4 linked regions of the Drosophila melanogaster genome follow. The gene in region 2 interacts genetically with the main gene of each other region. Each region holds a gene or a part of one and is shown on either strand. Other genes may lie near its edges.

Evidence for each region.
Region 1: of Sirt1 (region 2) and polo, changing one suppresses a phenotype caused by changing the other (phenotypic suppression), as found in Drosophila melanogaster (one study listed by BioGRID).
Region 3: of Sirt1 (region 2) and foxo, changing one suppresses a phenotype caused by changing the other (phenotypic suppression), as found in Drosophila melanogaster (one study listed by BioGRID).
Region 4: of Sirt1 (region 2) and spn-B, changing one suppresses a phenotype caused by changing the other (phenotypic suppression), as found in Drosophila melanogaster (one study listed by BioGRID).

Annotation. Positions count from the first base shown.
Region 1 is NT_037436.4:20,307,959-20,313,992, reverse strand, and holds polo (polo), read right to left. Parts: upstream 4,340-6,034; 5' UTR 3,684-4,339; coding exon 3,585-3,683; intron 2,945-3,584; coding exon 2,720-2,944; intron 2,659-2,719; coding exon 1,876-2,658; intron 1,811-1,875; coding exon 1,382-1,810; intron 1,315-1,381; coding exon 1,120-1,314; 3' UTR 527-1,119; downstream 1-526. Other genes in the region: alphaSnap (alpha soluble NSF attachment protein), read right to left, coding at 109-200; SCCRO4 (squamous cell carcinoma-related oncogene 4), read right to left, coding at 5,167-5,246, 5,377-5,584, 5,646-5,899. UniProt on the Drosophila melanogaster protein: May play a role in regulating both nuclear and cytoplasmic aspects of the mitotic cycle. Regulates localization of the augmin complex during mitosis by ensuring its location on mitotic spindles.
Region 2 is NT_033779.5:13,163,816-13,170,068, reverse strand, and holds Sirt1 (sirtuin 1), read right to left. Parts: upstream 4,506-6,253; 5' UTR 4,079-4,505; coding exon 2,869-4,078; intron 2,690-2,868; coding exon 1,428-2,689; 3' UTR 518-1,427; downstream 1-517. Other genes in the region: DnaJ-H (DnaJ homolog), read left to right, coding at 5,176-5,244, 5,307-5,753, 5,866-6,253. UniProt on the Drosophila melanogaster protein: NAD-dependent histone deacetylase involved in heterochromatic silencing. Mildly suppresses the heterochromatin-mediated silencing phenomenon known as position-effect variegation (PEV). Required for epigenetic silencing of the polycomb group proteins.
Region 3 is NT_033777.3:14,055,311-14,059,953, reverse strand, and holds the start of foxo (forkhead box, sub-group O), read right to left. Parts: upstream 3,010-4,643; 5' UTR 2,930-3,009; exon of another isoform or gene 2,526-2,929; intron 2,214-2,525; 5' UTR 1,847-2,213; intron 1-1,846. UniProt on the Drosophila melanogaster protein: Transcription factor involved in the regulation of the insulin signaling pathway. Consistently activates both the downstream target Thor\d4EBP and the feedback control target InR.
Region 4 is NT_033777.3:14,326,148-14,330,154, reverse strand, and holds spn-B (spindle B), read right to left. Parts: upstream 2,105-4,007; 5' UTR 1,945-2,104; coding exon 1,890-1,944; intron 1,830-1,889; coding exon 1,668-1,829; intron 1,607-1,667; coding exon 1,263-1,606; intron 1,210-1,262; coding exon 745-1,209; 3' UTR 547-744; downstream 1-546. Other genes in the region: ATPsynE (ATP synthase, subunit E), read right to left, coding at 2,619-2,864; Afti (aftiphilin), read left to right, coding at 3,874-4,007.

The sequences.
Region 1 (6,034 bases), on a different chromosome or scaffold from region 2:
ATAGGGCTCAGTACCTTGTGGGGTTGTGGAGATGCTAGGCTAGACCAGACACAGCTCCATTTCCCCACTCCCACAGAAATTGCGAAACTTCTTTGATTTGATACGCACCCGAACAGCGATCCCAGAAAGCCCTTCTGCTGGGTCAACTTCTTCTCCGCCTCGGCCATCAGCTGGAGCGCCTTCTGTTCGTTGTCACCCATGTCGAGGATTTATGTCCGCCTCGGCACTAATTGCATCTAAGTTTAAGACTTGTTCGGCTTTTCAGCGAGTGTGTGTACGTATTGGGATCTTTTTTCGAGAAAATAAAATCAATATGCTGACTTGGTGTGACCGCAGAAGTGGTGCCAGTGTTACCATCTCACAGCATTCTCAAATAACTCATGCCAGTGTTGTGAAATGCAAGGGCTGTAACGTTTGTTCGTTCAAAATAATTCTCAGCCGCCTGAATGCGTCACCTACAGTCTGGCAGGTGCATTTTAAGAACAGCTGCCCTAAACGTTGCAAACAATCTTTTTTCAGATATTTTATTAAATTTTATATATATTCGCTTTTAGTTCAAAAGCATTTACATATTGTATCCTATAGCTACAGATATTTCTGGCCAAAGTTGAATATACTTGTACACTTAAACACTTTGCAGCAGTATTGTAACTTATGTATTATTTTAAATGGCGCTATAGCGCACTACGAACGCACAATATTACACTATTACTTTTATAATGTATCCAGCATTAAAATTTTGTTATCAGTCACCTCGGTGAATATAGGCATTTCGAAACACGTTTGCTTAGTTTAAACATTTAATTTGATCTCTTTAAAATGCATTAAGTGATCGGATCGTGTACGAAAACCATTAAACAGATATATTAAATTACTTTTGAGGGAGGCCCAACACTGACGATGAATATAACTTAAGCAGTATTTTCGATATGAAGGGGAAGGGGCAAAAACAAATAAATTCTATAAACATCGAACAAATCAATTTGAACGGGAACTACAATTTTAAAAGATGATGGGAGAGGAGGATACTTTCTGGGCTATAAATGAAGTTGGCCAGGGCATTCGTGAATTACGTTAAACTAACATTCGGCCTTATAATGATAGTTGGGCTGGCTACGCTTATGTGAACATCTTCTCCAGCATTTTCCTAAGTTTCTCCTGGGCATATCGGATCTTCTGGTACAAGTCTTTAGACACGCCGTTCTCCACAATGGTCGAAAATCGGTAGGTGCGGAAGTTCTTCTCCTGGTCCATATAGGTTATAGCACTCATGCGCGGGCAGAGGATGAGCTTCATGTGATCTGAGAAGTTTAGCTAAGAAGGATAGATAGTTCATTAGGACCAGATGTACATGATGCCGATGCTGTACAATTATACAAACCTGCACAGAACCGTTGGTCAAATGCATAACTACGGCACATGTTGTACGGAACCAGGAGTGTAAATGGGGCATACGCGAGATTTGATCGCTCTCAATGTTCACATTGTTGGCACCTGCCTTCACCAGGTGCTCGATCATGTAGCGCTTAAAGTACGACAGCAGCTTCATCTTCTTGTCAAGCGACTTGCAGTAATCCGTGGTGGTCATGTACGTCTCCTTGCCATCCTTGTCGATGAAGTGTACGTTGATCTGATTCGGCAGCAGGATCAGCTTTGTGGTGTCGTTGAACATCACGCCGATGCCCTCATCGCACAGCTGGTAACCAAATCCGTACTTGTCGCTGTAGTCAACCCACTTGGATATCCAGAAGAGCGGCTGCGCTGCAGGATCTGTGTTCTCGTCGCCCAGATTGCCTTGCAGAATTCGCGGCTAAAGAAGTGAAGAGGTATAAGAGTCTTAAATTATTTAACTAATATAGAGCAAAAGGTACTTACCTTTCCGTTGATAAGATTAGTGAGCTGCTGGTACAGGCTCTCGATATCGCTGCGATAGTCCTCGCTGTGGCGGCACACCTGCGCTGACGCGGTAATGGCGTCGTGCAGATTGGCCTTGAGGAAGGTCGACTCCAGACGAGTGTCGTCGGGCCTGATGCCGTTCATCTCCATCAGTGGCTTGCGGTGCATCGAATCCTCGATGGTGTCGTTGCTGCCGATACGCGGCGCCATTGTCAGACAAGAGCTGGGCAAGAACATGGGCACCTTTGAGCCCTTGAGGAACTCAAAGTTCAGCAGCTGACCAATTGCCGGGCGGCTCTCCGGATTTGGCTGCAGCATGGCGATGACCATATCCGCCGCCGGTTTCCTTAAGTAGCTGGGCACGCGGTACTCGCACTTCTTGATTTTCGAGTACGTATCCTTCAGAGTCTTGGTTTCGAACGGCGGCTGGCCCACAAGCAGTGTGTACATGACGCAGCCAATCGACCAGATGTCCACCTCGAAGGAGTGGCCCTTCTTGGTGAGGATCTCCGGGGCTATATAGTTGGGCGTTCCGCATAAGGTCTTTTTTCGCTCGCCCTCATACTCAATGCGCGTGGCCAACCCGAAATCCCCGATCTTCACGTGCAACAAATCGTTGAGGAAGAGATTGCCCAGCTTCAGATCTCGATGGATAATGCGGTTATCGTGCAAGTACTTAACGCCCTGGATTATCTGGTAAATGTAGTAGCGGCATTCGAACTCCGTAATGCTTTTCCTACGTTTGTGCAGCTCCATCATGGACTGTAAGTCGGAGAGGTAAGTGTCATGGTGGCATATTGCAGAGATGTTCTATTAAACTCACTCTTTTCTTGCACAGCTCCAGCACAATGTAGATATTCTGCGAATCTTCAAAGTAGTTGTGAAACTTGACAATGTTCGGATGGTTAAGGCTGCGGTGAATAGTTATCTCCTGGGCGGTCTTCTCCTTCTGATTGTGTTTGATCATCAGCTTCTTGGATACGATCTTGCCGGCGAAGACGTCGTCGGTTTCCACATCGATGATCTCGTAACATTTTGCAAACCCGCCCTGCATAAAGCATATTAATTTTGTATTTAAAAACATTATACAAAAACATAACCTTATACTGTATTAAAAACAGATCTATGATAAAACTTTGCATATAGGTATTTTCAAGTAAATGGCGTTTAATAAACGTATTGATGTCTATTTTACAAACATATTCTGTATAAACTTTTTATCCATATTGGTTGGCAACATAAAATTAGTAATTTATATTTAACAATCACATGTTTAGTACCTTTGCTCCAATCTGCGGAGCCCCTTCCAAGAAAATATTTATATGCCAATAGCACAACGAGGAAATTGTTGGTTCAACTAAGTTGCAACAGTTCCTTTTCTTGTCTATGTAAATTCGAAGAAGCCGCGCCAAAAAAAAAAACTGAACAAGCAGCCAACTGCATGAACACACACACACAGGCTCGTACAAGATTCCCACACACAGGCTCTCTTTTTCTCTCCTGCTCTTAAAGGAGAGAGCTACAAAAACAACAAGGGAATGCTCATCAGCAAGGAAAACGGAACGAAAACCGGGATGTGGAAATGGATATGTGTGTATGCGGGTGCGTGCATGTGTGCGTGTAGGTAAATGTGTGATCCCTTCGACTGATCTGATCCCGGGCATCTGCAAATCCGCATCCGGACTCACCTTGCCGAAGAACCGCATGCGCTTGTAGGTTTTCCGCTGGTTGATGTCGACGAGGCGATCCGGAATATCCGTGCTCTTATCCTCGGGCTTCGCGGCCATCTTGCTCTCCTTTCTTCTTTACTACGGACTGCCCCTTTTGCGTTTGCGTTCGCCTGGAGTTTTGCGGCGATACTCCTCGTTCTGAGCCTATAATTCCACCGGCGATCGGCTGAAAGTGCCTCGGAAACGGAGATCAGATCCACACGGTTGACAAGAGAAGCGGCGATCAAATCTCGGTTTTGCCCATCGAATGCACGAAAACCAAGCACAAAGCGGAGAACGCGCCGAAACCGTTCGATTTTTTAAATGCCAAAATGAATTGGACGTGAAGCGTCAGCTGAATTGGTGTGCCCGTTTCGCTGGCTATCGCACACTTTCTGGTATGTATCGCGGTATTTTGTTGAGTGTTGAACAACAAATTCTATGGCCGTTACCCTTTTGAATTTACCTACTGGCGTTTACTCTGTTCGAATTGAGCGCAATATTTTTTCCTATTGCTCTGCGCAACACTGTGTTTAACCGCTATTTATTTGAAAATCTACAAAAACTAACGTTACATTTTTGAAATTTCAAAAGGGTTTCATAAATTGAGTTTACTAAACAGTCAACGGTCAACTTTATATTGTAGAGCCCCTTTTCTAATTTGAATTGCTGCAAACGTTTTCTGAGTAAAAATACTGCCACCTTGTAATTGCAGGTTTCGATCCTGATTTGTGTTAAAAAGAAATTATTAGAAACAGCTATCTCAAAGCCTTCTATGTTTTTCAGTTAAACTTTCAAATAACGGTTAAAAATAATTTTGATAAAAAAAAAACAACACTAAAACACACACAAGTAAATAGAAAAAATAATGTGTTTACTTAATAACTTTATTAAATAATCCCCAGATTTTGTTTTTCTACATTGATTTAATAACGACTACGAATACCCCACTATTGGTGTAGATTTCCGTTTAGATTTTGACTATGCCTGCTGATATCTCGAAGGGGTCGCTTGGGTTGGAGGATTGTATGTTCTAGAATAGGTCTATTTGGGGTCTCTTGGTTATTGCCATCGTTTCGTTCTCTGGGATTACTCCTTACAAGCTGCCCCGTTTTGGCTCTTGTTGCTGTTCTGATTTTAATGTTTTGTTTTTGTTTGCGAAAGAGGCCTTATAAGTAGAAAAATGTGGTTTTAGTTCTTAGTTGTCGTCGTTAATACATAAATTATTACATTAAATATATTATCAATAGTTTAGTTTCATAGTTGGTTGCTTTGCCAGTGTACGCAGTCTCTCCAAAATGCCTTGTGTTTCCGTGTGGGTGAGTGTGTGCTTGTGTGTTTTAGGCCGAAGAAGTGGCTGGTGGATCTGATCGTGGATCTGAGTGTGGGTGTGGGTGTCAGTGAGTGTCCTGCGGTTATGTCTTAAATTTTCGCCGATCTATCTTATCAGCATTCCCATCCCATCGCATCGCATCCCATCTCCGACTCAGTCTCCGCGAACTCCTCTCCGCACTGAGCTCCCAAAGTTGAACTAGAAATAGGCGACTCGATACAGCTTTTCTCAGCTAGATCCGGTTGTGGAGGTGACCTGACTCCGCTGCAGGCGCAGCCATTCAACAAACTCATCCAGCATGACGGGCCCTGCAAAAAGATGGGGGTAACTAAATGCTCCGTTTCAAGTTCTTATTTTAACTTATTTATCAGCTTCTTTTAATACGGTTGCGAAATACATAGTTCAGTTTAGTTTAGTTAGCTCCTTTGTGTTACTTACAAGCTCCGTCGATATCGTAGTTTGATAGATCAATGCTAATGGTGCGCGAGAACTCGAGAATATTACACCACTGATCTTTGTTGATCGCCTTGTACTTTGATTGCTCTAGAAACTGTGCGAACTGTGGATACAGAGGCCAATGTTTGCCCAAAAGTAGTTGAAGCATGGCTTTGGCAGTGAGTATATCCATACACCGTTGGTCCGAGTCCTGCGGAATATGCAGAGCCTTATTAAACGCAGCTCATTGTTTATTCAAATGGATTACTGACCTTGGCAAAGTCGTAGGCGTATCTGTAGATGCTTTTAAAGGAGTTGGGATCGTTGAGTATGCTGCGCAGATAGTCCAATTTCACAACCATTTTCGCTGCCGAATCGCAGTCGAGTTCTGTGAGGCCCTTTAGCCACTCCTGCTGGCTGAAGAAGCCCATCTGGGTGGCGCCCATTTTGTAGGCCAGCACCAGCATCACAATATTCTCGGGCTCCACGCCGATATCCTCGCAGAATTTTTCCATGCCATCGGGACCTGAAGAATCAGTTTGTTACATAAGTATTTCGAAGGGCCAATAAGAAATAAATAAGCAATTTCTTTATATACCCAGAATTTGGTATGCCTGAGCGATTTAAGAAGATTGCCGATATCTTTATATTGCACATATTC
Region 2 (6,253 bases):
GAGTAATAACAATGCATGCAACACATGTATTCACATGAATATATGGGGAGATTGCATAGCATGGGCTTGTACAGTGTACATAAAATAAGCCGTCGCCGATTATATAGGACCCAAGAATATCATATTTTATATAGAAGCAAGCGCAAGCAAATAACCCAGGCAGCATGCCCTCAACTTTCAGTCGTAAACGGAGCGATTGGAAGTCGCTCCTAGTCTGTAAGATCCACGATTAACTAGCCGCTCTCTCCTTCGGTTAACTTCGTTCCGGTGTCACACATCTCTGCAAGGAGGGCATTATTGGTGTAAGGCAAACTTTTGAAGAAGGCAACCTTAATGATAAAATATGTATTTAGATATCCCTAAGGTACCAGCTAATGTCAAGATACTTTAATAAAACCGAATTCAAAATTGCAAGTATTGAAATATCGCCGACTAACTTTTATATGTGTTGGTTTTCTTTGGGTTTATATGTGCTCTACAGTCAAAACTCATTTTCATTTCTGTTTTTTTTTTTTTTAGATTGGTTTATATTCTGGATATTAATACACTTTTAAGACATATAGACTAAATTCTTACTGCTATGTTTACACTGCGTTTGGTGGCTATATATTTATGCTAGGTTTCGAATAAACATTTCAAACACGCACACCAAATTTCCAACTCTTATGAATATTTTGAAATCCATGCGCTGTTACATTTTGATGTGGGTGCGAGTGTATAAATGTTAAAAAATAGTTGCCATAACCGATAGAAATATAAAATGGTAAGGAGATAACACAAAAAAGTAGAAAAAGAATCATGTACAATACAAATTAGGGGCGAGTGCTTATATACAGAGTGTTTGTGTCTAGTTTTTAACTAAAACTAACGTATTTTTCCGTTTGCATTTGCATAGTTTTGAATATGTTACGCTTAGAACTAGATTTAAAGTTGAGGCGCTGCTTCTCTTTGAATACAAAGAAATCCTGCTTTCTAAAGGATTTTCAACTTTCCGCTTATCTCTTTAGTTTGTCTAAAAAGGCCTCAATAACAACTTAATATAATAAAATACTAACATTTACAGCGTTTCGTTTTGAAAAAGAGAGATAATAAATAAACTAAGAGTTTTTCAAAAATATCAAAACGGGATTGGGCATAAGGGGTTGGTGGTAAAGCAACGAGGGTCAGATCTCTAAAGCCTCGAATTGAGTAAACTAGTGGATCCGGTTTCATTTCTTGAAAACTTCGTGATACCGGGAATTGAAGTGTTCTCATATTCTAAATAAATAACAAGTAAACGGTTTACCGTTTCCGATTCCAGTACCTTTCCGGGGAATGAAATTGGTAACATGGCCCTCGGCTACGATTTCGCAGCTTCTCTGTTTACAAGTTGGCTTGAATTGCATTTAAAATAAATACTACACTACTAGCAGGGGCTAAGATTACGTTTACACTGCTGCTAACTGTCCTGGAGGCGGACTCTCCTCAGATCTTTCTATTTGGGTCTGCTGCTTATTTTCCTCACTTGGTCGCCGCTTCTTTAGTGGGGGAATTTCCGTTTCAATAGCGGGCGTTGGCTGCTGTTCTATAATGCAGGCGGTTCTTTTCTGGCCGGGACTGCTGTTGGGCAGCGGTTCGTTGGATCCATTCACTATATCGGTGACTATGTGAGCCTCCAGTGAAGGCGGTAGCAATGGTGACAATGGAACGGCGTTCAGATCACATGCATCCTCATCATCATCCTTATAATTGTGCCCCACATTGCCAAAGAGATCACTGTGTCTATTGTGTGATCTTTCCTCTTCTTCGTCATCATCATCGCTGTAATCGTTGTCCCAGAATACCTGGGCTCCTGGAAACACATACGAATAGTTGTTGGTGTGCGAATAGAATGTTCCAGGCTGCAGACGCTCGGCTGCTGTCTGTCGCTTTCCCCTCTGTTGTGGAATGGGCGTCAGGCTGGGCGCCACTGTCTTGGTCTCCTGAACAAGATTGCTGGGTCGCACGTAGCTAGGCGTGGCTTCGTTGTCGCACTGCTCGATGCCGCTATCCTTGGAGGAATCAATGGAAAGATGGCGATAGCTCTCCACCGTTGTCTGAGGGCCTTCCAGGCCCAGACGATCGCAACTTAGGGCTGTGGTCTCGTTCAGCTCAACCAGTATGTCTGTTTTAATACGTTCGATGGCTGCCGCTTCGGCGGCAGTGGAACGCTTTCCACAGCTAAAAGTAGATGACTCAAATCCACTATCCGAGCAGGTGCCAGCTGATCCTAGTATGTAGTCCGCCGAACTATTTGATTTAATAGACTGCGTATCCGTGTCCAGTTGCGACTGTCGCTCGCTCTCTGAACTGCAGTGGCGGTGGTGAAGTAGATGATGATGGAGGTGGTGATTAGAGTGCTCCGGAGGCATTAGCTCCTTGCTTTCGGTAAGCACTGACTCATCGCAGCACAGCTGCCGCCAGCAATCATCGTTGTCCGACAACCGGTGGCAAATCTGGTTGATGATCACATCGGAGTCGCCCAGCAGCTCCACATCGAACTTAAGGTGATGCAGCTGCTCGCGATTGATAAGAATCTGCGGCACCGTGGCCGGTATGCTGCTGGGAATGTGGGCCACAGGTCGGACCTTCAGCGAGGAGCCGATCACGATCAGTAGATCGCACACGTCCTTGTCGGTGGCCATGACCGTGTGGTACTCATCCGGCAGTCCTGTTGGCAATATGAAAAGCAAACACAATATGATATATGGTAAATAGCGTTACTTTGTATTTTCAATAGTTTATCTCTTAAATAAACACTTCTTTTGATCGTCGAATTTGAAATTCTTGCATTTATTTTACCAAGGCTATTGATAATATATAATAAATCTGTATAAAAATGGCACCTACCCTCGCCGAAAAAGACGATATCCGGCTTCATGATGCCGTTCTCGACCAGTTGGCGCAGCTCCTCCTCAGTAACGGCCACCGAGGCATCCACGCTCTGCTCCTTATTGGGCTGGCACTGCGGGCACACCGGAATTCGCTGGGCAAATATGTCCGCCCGCAGGGCGTCAGCGTTGCACTTGAAACGACACTTGGTGCACGAGGCCGTTGAAAAGGAGCCGTGACACTCGATTACTCGCTGAATGCCTGCCACCCGCTCGAGGGTGTCGATGTTCTGTGTGTAGTTGCGCAACAGTTTGCCCTTGGTCTCCAGCATTTTGATGAAACGATGGCAGGGTGAGGGCTGAAACTCGCCGGGATATATCTCGCGGGCAAACTTGTAGAACGGTCGTGGATCCCTCTTGAAGTAGTTGATATCAAACATGGCCTGCGGATCGGGCAGATCGGGAAAATCATGGGCCAATCGCGCATATATGCCATTGGTGGACCGGAAGTCCGGAATGCCGCAGGAGACGGATACTCCGGCTCCCGTTAGCACAATGATCTTCTGTGATTTCTTGACCAAACTGATGACATCGTCGAAGGTGTTCACTGAGGCCAGCTTGTTGCGCCGCTTCGGCTCGTTCAACAGGTGGGCCAAATAGTCCCACAGCACGGAGTCGTCGGTGTCGCCCGCCAGGCCGGTGGCGAAATGCGGCATAATGCTGGCAATAACCTGGCGCGGCACACGACCTGTGTAAAATTCTCGTTGCAACCAGCGCAGCTTCCAGTCGGGTTCCACGGATGAGGAGCAATTTGAGCTGGAGTCCTCATCCTCGTTGCTCGTTCCGGTGATTCCCTCCTCGTCGTCCTCCTCCTCCTCCTCATCGTCCTCTTCCTCCTCCTCCTCGTCATCTTCATCCTCGCCCATTGACTTTGTGGGATTTTTGGTTTTATGCTCCAAATTGGCGCCAATCTCTTGTTCTTCCCTGGCAGCCAATGTTTTTGTTTTGATTTCACCATTTGCTTTGCCAGCAAGTTCGCTTGTTGCTGGTTCTGTGGTTGTTGCTGTTGCTTCTGCCTCTGCCTCTGCCTCTGTTGACGTTGAGGCCAGAATTTCCGCGCCAAAATCAAACTTAGTTGGCGGATAGAATTGCGTAGTGTCTGGCACCTGGTTGCCCAGATCTTTAGACCTAATGTGGCCCAGGCGAATTTCCTCGTAATTTTCCATCATTTTTTCCGAACCCAAGCGCGCGCACACGCGCACACACACAGACTCACGGAGAGAAAACTCTCGTAGTTGGTGCTGTTGCTGGCTCTTCTTCTTCTTGCGCGAGTGTTTCCTCGGTCTCTCCGCTTTGCGCTCTCGCCTCGTCCGTTTTCTCCGCTCTTTCGTTGGTACACACAAAAATTTTTACGTCGTCAGCTTCGCACCCATTTGGCTTGATTGAAAAAATTCTCCAGCGATCGTTTGGCCGCGATTTTTTCAACCAACCCGACTTTATTTCACGTATATGCACGAAACTTAAATTTTAAAAAAATTTCGACACCATTTGGTTGCGATTTTTTCGTAATTTTCGAGCGTAGTTTCTGGAAAATTTTCCGATGAAAAAAGCAAGATGGCACACGTAGCTGCGCCTGTGTGTGTATGTGGGCTGGCAGACGTGATTCGGGTGGGACCCTGACACGTCGTGTGGAAAGTGCTAACGCGTTTCTGCATGGAAAGTGCCGCCAGCATGACTCATCACGGTATGTTTTTAGTATTTTTTGGGATTTTTGAGGGTGATTACGTGTTGCTACAGTGGCCACTGCCTTATGTCATATCTAATTTAATCCATTTCTTTAAAAACTGTTTAAAATATATCAATAATTTGTCAAAAAGTTAGTAAAATTAATTTTAAATTATGCTTCGAACTTTAATTTTAGCACTCTTTTACTTATCAAATTTACTCGATATTTAAACAATTAAGTAAAAATAATTTTTTTGTCCAATATTTACACATTTCATAGTAGTATTATAAATTGATGTATTGATAATATGCAGTTCATATGTCCAAAAACTTCCATCAAGCTGTTAAATACAAAAATGTGTAAACAGATTTCCAGAACGTTCCAGCAAGTGTCTACTGTTCCCCAAAAAAGCTGCGATTTTAAGTATTTATTTGGTACTTTCCCCAAAATTATAGGTTTTTGGTAGAACTTGGGCATACTTGTTAGCCAATATGACTTGAAAATATTGTCATAAATACATTGTTAAATAATTTAATAAGTCGTACACTTACAATGTACAAAATATTTTAGTTTGTAGGGGGACTGGGGATGCAATAGGAAATGGACAACCTAAATTTATACGACGTTCTTAAAGTGGCTCCGGATGCAACTGATGAGGAAATAAAAAAGGTATGTAACAGTTCCAATTCGATATGTTGGTAAATAGTTTGTATTCACCTTTTCACCAATAGAACTACCGAAAATTGGCAAAAGAGTTCCATCCAGACAAGAATCCCGATGCGGGCGACAAGTTTAAAGAAATATCCTTCGCCTACGAAGTGCTGTCCGATCCCGAGAAGCGGCGCATCTACGACCGATATGGATTGAAGGGCCTGCAAGAGGGCGCCGAGGGATTCTCTGATGCCTCCGAATTCTTCGCCCAGTGGTTCCCCTTCGATCGAGTCTCGTCCGAAGGTCGGGGCAGGCGCAATGGCAAAGTCGTGGTAAAAGTGGAGCTGACCCTGGAGGAGATCTACGTCGGCGGCATGAAGAAGAAGGTGGAGTACAATCGCCAGAAGCTGTGCTCCAAGTGTAACGGCGATGGCGGTCCCAAGGAAGCGCACGAGAGCTGCGAGACCTGCGGCGGAGCTGGACGAGCGGCCGCATTTACCTTCATGGGTCTCAGCCCCTTCGATACGGTATGTAAGAATTGATTGTAGTTGTAGTGAATGCACACCGCGGACCACACATCCGTGGAGATCCCATATACCACACTTCGGAGCAGATTATTTAAATTATTTTTTTTTGCAGACCTGTCCGACTTGCGATGGCAGGGGCTTCACCATAAGGGACGACAAGAAGTGCAGTCCCTGCCAGGGCAGTGGTTTCGTAGAGCAGAAGATGAAGCGGGACCTGGTTGTGGAGCGAGGAGCACCGCACATGCTAAAAGTTCCCTTCGCAAATGAGGGCCACCAAATGCGAGGCGGCGAATTTGGGGATCTGATTGTAGTCATCTCCCAGATGGAACATCCAATCTTTCAGCGCCGCCATGCCAATCTGTACATGCGAGACCTGGAGATCAACATCACGGAGGCCTTGTGCGGCTACTCGCATTGTTTCAAGCACTTGGATGGACGAAACGTCTGTCTGCGCACGTACCCTGGTGAAGTGTTGCAGCACAACCAGATCAAGATGGTGC
Region 3 (4,643 bases), on a different chromosome or scaffold from region 2:
TATATAGAGAAGGAGAGGCCCGACCAGGCAATGTGCAATAGTTCAGAATGCAGCGAGTGCGAACGCAAATGCAAATGAACGGCAGAGGCCCTGCAATGTTTATTGAATTCATTACAATAATTAAAGAGCAAACGAACGATTCGATTCCACTCGACCGATGGCGAAGTCAACCAGGAACGTAGAGCCCCCAAACGGCGATCTTCGATTGACAGCTGGGACAACTGACGCATGGAAATCATGGATGGGATCATCTGACTTCGCAAACGCAATCGATTTGCATTACTAACGTTTTTGGGGTCGGCGCGAAAAACGAAATAAATTAAGCAAAAAGAAGCGTTCGAAAAAAAGTTCTACACATCTGAGTAGAATATTTAAAAATCACAAAATAATACTAAGAAATAACTACTGGTATTCCGACTATATCTTTCTAAACAAAACAATATGTAGTGGCTCTCATTTAATGATCATTAAATTTCCATTACTAACGTTTTTCGGTTATCGGTAAAATCGACATTATCGATATAACTTATCGTCATTCTCAAACGAGCTTATTAGTAAGAGCTTTACTAATTCTTGAAGAATACTAGAATACGAAGAATACGTTTAATGTTGTCTCTCAAAATTAATTGACTTCCCGGTTTCCCTGCTTCAATTACAGCTTTTTAGACAAACTTTCGCACACTTTCTTGTTATCAACTGGCACGTTCCACCAATGTGGCTAGCAAACACTCAAGATATGATAAAAGTCACAATCGCAAGCACATAGGACGACTATACAGATGTGTGTATAGGCTTATATGTACACTTTTTTTGGGCCATCAGCTGCTGTTGTACCTTGGCACATTGCGAATAGATAAAAGCCTTATCTGTAAATGGGGAATAAAAAAGCCTCTTTCGACAGCTAACCGAGTGGCGAATCAACCCATTTATGAAAATTAAACCTAATCACATTTCAATGTCAATACTGATGTCAAGAGAATATTCAAAAGCATCTGAAAACGGTGCGTATACGAGATCGCTGGCAAAATATGGCAACAAAATCGACCTTAGTGGATCGCATACGAAAATCGGGGGAGCAAACAAACACAGAACGAAAGAAATGAGCTCCACGCAAACGACACACGCTTCAAGCTCTGCTATCAGTGTGGCGCTGGGGCTCTATTTTTAGAGCCATTATCAGCGCTGCTCTAATTAAGATCTCCCCTGCCCACTCCCATGACAAGTAACACACCAAAACGGACTAATCAAAACCCACACGAACTGAAAGATCATCTATTGGAGCGACACTGCAGCGCCGAACGTGACCGACTTTATGATTCTAGTCGTTTTGATCTTGAAAGTGAAACTAGGAATTACTCGAATAAGGTTATAAATCACATTCCCTATCGGTTGTATTAAAATTTGGGTCGTAAATTCAATAGATGTGACTACTTTAACACAACAAAAAGTCCAGCTTTCCTATCTAAAATTCTAAACACCAATATAAATAAAAGAACCTAACTCTAGTTTCTATTAAACCTCTTAACTTTTATCAAAGCTTATTTTTATAAATATAGCAATAGCAATTTATATTGGAAATATTTCACGGAAGAATGAATATTTTATTGTGGCGACTAAAAAAAATGTTGTTGTAATCAACATAAAATACCATTTAATTTAAATTTTAATTGATGTGTAGGAAAGCACTGCTTCAATTACTTTTTTAATCGCGTGACGAAACAAAATTTGACTTTTAGAATATTTCAATCAATTGCCGATTAGATTCGAATCGAATTTAGGAACTTAAAAAACATGACATTTTTCATTCAATCAAGTACACCTACTCGTAATTGTTAATAATATTTACCCGCCAAATGTTTGCAATGGGAAATAGCTGGCTAATTTGTTGCTCCTTGTTGATTGCGATTTAAAAAATTGTTGATTTTGCCGGTGGGATTTGTTGATCGCCGTTTGCTGTTGTTAACTGGCACTGTTTTACTTTATTTTCCTGGTTGCTTTGCACTTTTTTATGGGTTTGTTTTTTTTTTATGGGTAGTATATATGATTGTGTTGTTGTTTTGAGCGAAACTTGTGCGGATTTCTTGATTTTTAGTGGTTATTTAAATATATACATATATATTTTTTAGAATTCTGTTGGCATAATTTTCTGCTCACACACACACACACTCATTAAATGGGTTTCTTGTTGTTGCTGGGCGGCGGTTTTGCTTAAGCTAAAGACGATTGTAAAAACGGTAAATTAGAATATATATATAACAACAATCAAAATAAACAAATAAAAAGAGCGCGAAGAGAGCGGCGCGATTAAAGAGCGTAGTGTGTGTATGTGTGTGTGCCGAAGAAAGAGAGGGAGAGAGCGAAGAGAGCGATCACGTCACGTCATCAATTCATGCCAATTGGACGCACACACAACACTTAATTGGAATTCGTATGAGAATTCAATGAAAACCGTGCGGCGCAGTCGAAAAGTTGTTTAAAGTTCAAATGGGTAAAAAATTTTAATATAAACACGTTTCGGAGCTTACTCCAATTCGCTTTTTATTCGCCACTAGTGTGCGTAACGTATTTTATGTGCCATATAGTAGGTACATATGTATGTATTTGTATGTACAACGTGACTGCTACGAAGATCATCCAAGCATCGCTATTTAATACGTTTTGGAGCTTTTCTCTTATTTTATACGATTGTCGTATGTAAAAAACGAACGCGTTCCTTCTACGTTTCAGTTTTGAGTTCGGCACATTCACATGTTTTGAAAGCGAAACATATTTATTTTCCACTTTCTTGATTTGTTTCTACATTTGCGTTTTAGAATCAACGGTGTTCGGCCCCAAACGATTTGGGCCTCAAAAGATCACTGCGTTTTTTGCATTGGTTTATATTTGCTTTGCTTGAAGTTGAAAAGGAAAACGATGAACGATGAACGACCTCGTGGCTTTTAACCGCAAGCGAAAAAACACAGACTACTCGTTAACTGCTTTCTAGTTGGATGCGAACTGACAACTGAAACTGATTCGCCGTCGCCTTCGTAAAAGTGTTCGTTTCGGCGGCGCAAAAAGGCGGTCTGTGCGTGTGTGTGTGCGACCTATGTCCGCGTATGTGAGAGCTTGCTCTTAGCATCCACTCACGTTCCACAACCGCTCACTTCACCGCTTTTTTATGTTTGTGGCGCGCTTCGTCTCACACACTCTCACACACTTGGGGCCAAAAAATTAGTGGGGTATGCCAAATCGATATGTTTTATTTGAGTATTTTCTGCGTGAAATAAGAGAAGTTATAGCTATAGCTATAAATGCAATAGATATTTTAAATCTTAAAGCATACAAATTTCTCTCTTTAAGGGATATTAACCCCAACTAAATGATAATTCGTATAAAATAAAAAAGGAATTGTTTCAATACTTACAAATTTAATAATATAAAACTTAATCTATTTATTTTTAATAACGGGTGACTGTTTTAATGAAAAGAATAAAGTTCAGCTGCAGTGAAACATTTAAGACGTCATTGCATATTAATAACAATTTGAAAAGTATTCATTATAAAAAACATGTTATTCACTATTGAGGTGACCGCCTTTGTGCCCCCGTCAATATTAATAAATAAAAGCCATAGTTTACCTATTTTATACATTTGGAATTTAAATTGTTTCTTTTCATTTCGGTCGCGCTGCTCTGAACTCGAAATTCTCGACGATGGAGGAAAGGGAACGGCGGCGGTGGGTGGTGGTTGGGCGTTTTGGGTGGGGTGATGGGGCGGTCGGCATTGCTGATAAGGCAGCCGTTATCTCGCGATTGTCGCTCGCTCGTTCACTCAAGCTCTCTCTCTCCCTCCCTCTTTGAGGCTCCATTTCTCTCTTACGTTCATTGTCTCGTGATGCGATGGAAAATTTCCCGAAATTGCATTCTACTGATAATGCCAGCAATGCACATTTGTGCATATGAATATGGGACTCAGAAGTGCCCCGCATCTCTTGCAGTGTGCGAGCTTTTTGGGAGCATGTATTTTATGGTCAAAGTCCCCCGCATCCCCGACCACCGAAAAATAAGCCCCTCCCGGTGCCAGTTTTTTTTTTTTTTTTAATTTCATTTTTCGCCTAGGCCCGATATCTCTATACTTGTACACACGTTCGCGTCCATGAGAGTGTGTATCGGTGTTATTTTAATGTGCCTGCCACATAAATTCCGCAACATTACACGGCTAATGAAGTCTAGACGCTGAGGACGGAGAAACCAACAGTTTATGGATCATCCAAACTTAAAGACCGACCCGATGCGATCGTCTCGATCCCTCGAGAGGGGGGATTAGAAACGAGCCAAGGAGATGAGTTAAGGACTTTAGGGTGCATCTTGGCATATCTAGGATCTTAAAGATTTCAAATTTGCAGGCTTCATTGGGTAATTTTTTGTTAATTTGTAATTTTTCAGAATATTTTTATTGCTTAAAAAGCTCTTTTAGTTTTTTTTTGTTGTAAGATTATAGCTCTATTAAATAGGCCTCAAAGTCTGCAAAGTCCCGAGTTATGACAATAAAAGTTTGCATGTACATAGAGATTTTGGAATGCGAGAACAACAAGAAGATAAGTCCGCCAAAAGATACATATATATTTTAGAATGCTATTAAGTTGGCTTAAGAACGATAAG
Region 4 (4,007 bases), on a different chromosome or scaffold from region 2:
ACTATCCCAATAAACAAAAGAAAAACAAAAATAAAACTAAACAGAAAGAAAACCCCCATAGTTGTATTACTTAATTGTAATTTAATTGTCGCGTAATCCGTTCACCTTTAGGCTTGTATTTTATTTATTTAATATACTTAAACGCTAAGGCTAGGCTTTTGTAAATGTCGCATTTAAATGTCCGCGTAAACTATGGCAAATTGTAATCTGAACTTTTGAGAATTTCATGTGATAATGTATACGAGGCGATTACAAAATTGATTTTACTACTTGAACTATGAACTATACTATGTATGTAGGCCTGTAAGCTCTGCTACCCTGTAAATTGCAATTGAATGAAACATATTTATTGAGTGTTTGTACAAAAAAGGAATTAAGGCAACAAATAAGATGATTATGCCCGGAAAATGGCTTAAACTCGGGTTAAATTTATCGGAACTTTACATTTATTTAAAAAAAAAATTGAAACAAGATTGCGTTATCGTGTTAATCAGGTCATCAGAAAACCTTTTGTTCCTGAAAAGAAATAAGAAAAGCATGTTTTCTAAATTTGTTTTTATATATTTTAATGATACCTAAACCTGATTGGCAACTAAGTAAATTTAAATTATTAAACCCTAAAATATTCCGCTGAATTTAACAGGAGTATAAGACAATCGTATGGCTAATTGAACGCTCCGCCGTTACACATTTTAAATTCAACAAATTAAACGATAACAAAATAAACAGAATAAATTCAATCAATCACAGTCGACGCATTTTGGCGGGTGGGCTGGGAACAGATGGCTCTGGAACATTGACCACACCTTCTGCGGTGATAAGAAACTCGGCGAAATCATTGGGAGTCTCTGGTGAGTAAAGTATTTCCAGTTTGCGCACCGTTATCAGTTGATCACCCATGCGATGCTGCTTGGGCACCCGGGAAACACGCAGTCTAGTGCGTCCTAGGTGCGCCCACTGCAATCCCAAGCAGGGAATCTCATCCTGACCGTCCCTGGTGGCCACCTGATTCACACAGACCACGGCACAGTTGTACTTATCCGCGTAGCTGAGCAGAGCGTCTGCCAGTCGACGCATATGTCTCGCTCGTTCCAGATAATCATTATACAGCCGGAATATGGCGGCCACAGAATCAATAATGATCAGGCCAATGCCATGTTGTTGCATCAGTCGCGGAATGCGGTTTATAACGCACGCCAGGAGAGGTTCCTTTGGATTAATATTAAATAAGCATATGGCTACAAATTGGTTTGTCGACTCACTGCCTCAATGTGATTTTCCACAAAGATGTTTCCCAGAAAATTCAGCTCCATTTCGGGATGCCTCTTCTCGCAGGCTTTGCTCATCTGCAGCAATCTTCTCGCCGGAAAGGAACTCTCCGTGCATATGTAGGCCACGCCTTTGCCCAAGCCACCCAACTCACGGGGTAGCTGGACACAAAGGGATAGCTGAAGAAGCAACTGGGTCTTGCCCACGCCGGCTGCTCCACATAGCTCTGTAATTCCACGAGTGACCACTCCCCCGCCCGTGCAGCGATCTAAAGCGGAACATCCAAACGACACCCGCGACCATCTAACATTGACAAGCGGCTTGAAGAGGGAATCCGCTGTAATAAATAGTGGCAAACTAAACACAAGAGGCTACTTATACATTAGTCTGAGAATCACCTGACTGGGGCATCTCTGCCAGCCACTTGGCTGCCGCATCCTTGAGCACCCTAACATCATCCGGAGTGCATTTTCGCACGATTGTGTGCAGCGATTGCTGGCGGGTGTCCAGGAATCGCACCTTGGGAGTTGTCAGCACCTCCTCCGGTGCGAGAACATTAACTGGAGTACAGGAATTTAGTTGGCTCTTGAATAAAGTTGTTGGAACCCCAAAACTCTTACCCTGCTCGGCGATTTCTCTGATATGCTTGGGCAATTGATCCAGAAAGTTTGTCATCGCGATGCGATGGCATGTCCTCGATGGGATTGCGTGATATAATGGCTCCCCGAAACACGAAAGGTGTCTCAACACCTCCGGAATTGGAAGTATTCCGGGGGATTATTGATCAAACAGCCGAGCCATGCGACGACTTGCGAGCGAATTGAAAGTGTAAATAAACGCCGGTTGAAATCAGCTGTTGGCGCCAATATCTTAAGTGGGCCAATCAGCTGGCAACTACAGTGGGCATCCAATAAGGTAAACTATCAGTTGTTGTTTATCAAAAAAGATTTAAAACAAAATTTAGGAAAATTATTGATAATCAATTTGCAAAAATATTTATATGTACTTCCTAGTCAAATTTGGAGCTCAAACCCTCTCAAATTCTCTCAATCCTCTCCTATCCAAACACTATGCTAATATAAATATATTTCCAGTGAACACCACTTAATCACAAACACGAAACACTTGAGAGTATTTACATAATGGTTTTGTTTCAATCATTTAATTTCGAACATTCTGTTTTTTGCACAAGCATCAGAGGAAAACACAAAAACGATAGTCAGTGATCGATAGATGGTGGCTCCACTATCGATGATGCTCCTCCTTTTGGGCGAACTTCGTGTGTAAATGTTGTGGTTTTTCAATGTTTTTAAGCTAAGGGAACTGCGGATGTTGCATCCTGAAGGATCCTAGTGCTTGGGAGTGGGCTTCGAAAGCTCAGCCAAGGCACGGGCCTCAGCCTCTGCGCTGCGCTTCTTCTCCTCGGCGAGCTTGGCATCACGGACGGCCTTCTGCTGTGCCTCGATCTCGCGCAACTTCTCCTCCTTCTTGGACAGGCGGCTCTGGTGGGCGGCGCCGTAGGCAATGCCCACCAGGAGCAGGGACCATCTGCCGAACTTGATCAGCGGGGAAACGCGAACGGGAGCCTGCGACATGGTTTCTTCTTCAAGTTATGTAATTGTCCGACCGTGAACTGCAAGAAAAGGATGTACTTTAGTTATCCGACTTCCTTAATAGCGTTCCCCGTCTCGCTCCACTTTACAGATTCCTGGTTTTCCTAGTTTTATGCAATATTTGATGTTAAATAAGCAAAATTACCAAATTGGTGGAGCGATTGCAACGGCAGCGCAGTATAACCTTAAAACAGCTGTCAAAACTGACAGGCGGCTATCGATAGTTGTATTGGTACGGTGGCGGCGTTGCCAGCAAGCTTAAAAAAGTATGCAGAAATTGTGGAAAATATCATAACAATTTAAAAGAAGCCTTTATGACGACTATTTGTTGTTTAGTGTCCCAACAAAATTTGACGTATTACATACTGCAGCCTAGACTTTCATGTATATTTTACTCTTGTTACTAATAATTTTCAAATACAATTTTAACGGTAAAAGAATTGGAAAGAATAAAAATCTATTATAGAAATATAACTAATATAACTATTCTATCTGAACTATGGATAATGATTTAAATCGAAAATGGGAATTGAAAAAGATAAGATTCAAATTTTGTATGTTATCAATGTTGCGCAACGTTTTTCAGCACTGTCGGTTGGCCAAAAGTTAAACGTTCACACTGTGGGCAGAGGAAAAAGTATTGTTTTCTGGAAAACATGGCTAATTGCAGATAAAACGCGACTTGCAAATTCGGCAAATCTGTTTTTAGAGCCACCAATAAGGCGACAATTAGACATAATACAGAGACACAACAAAATTGACGCGTGTTAAATGCAAACAAGAAAATTCCAACACAGACCTTGAGTGGCTAACACACACACACACACTTGCAGGCCCTCCACACCTGCGTCACACATACACACCACACACACAGTGATAAAGTGGAGCGAGAGAGATAGAAGATCGAACCGTTCCCAGCGTTTTTGTTGTTCTTCTTGAAGCAGGAAGTGAATTTTAGGGGATCCTTTTACTGAATTTTGCAGCTGGCATTATGGTGAATGTACCACCGCTGCTCTGCAGCACCCCCCCGCCCATCGATTTTGGTGAGGAAGACGACGATTCCGGTTTACAATCCACCATCCATTTGGACGAGGGTGACGAATACTCAGATTTTGGCTTAGTCAG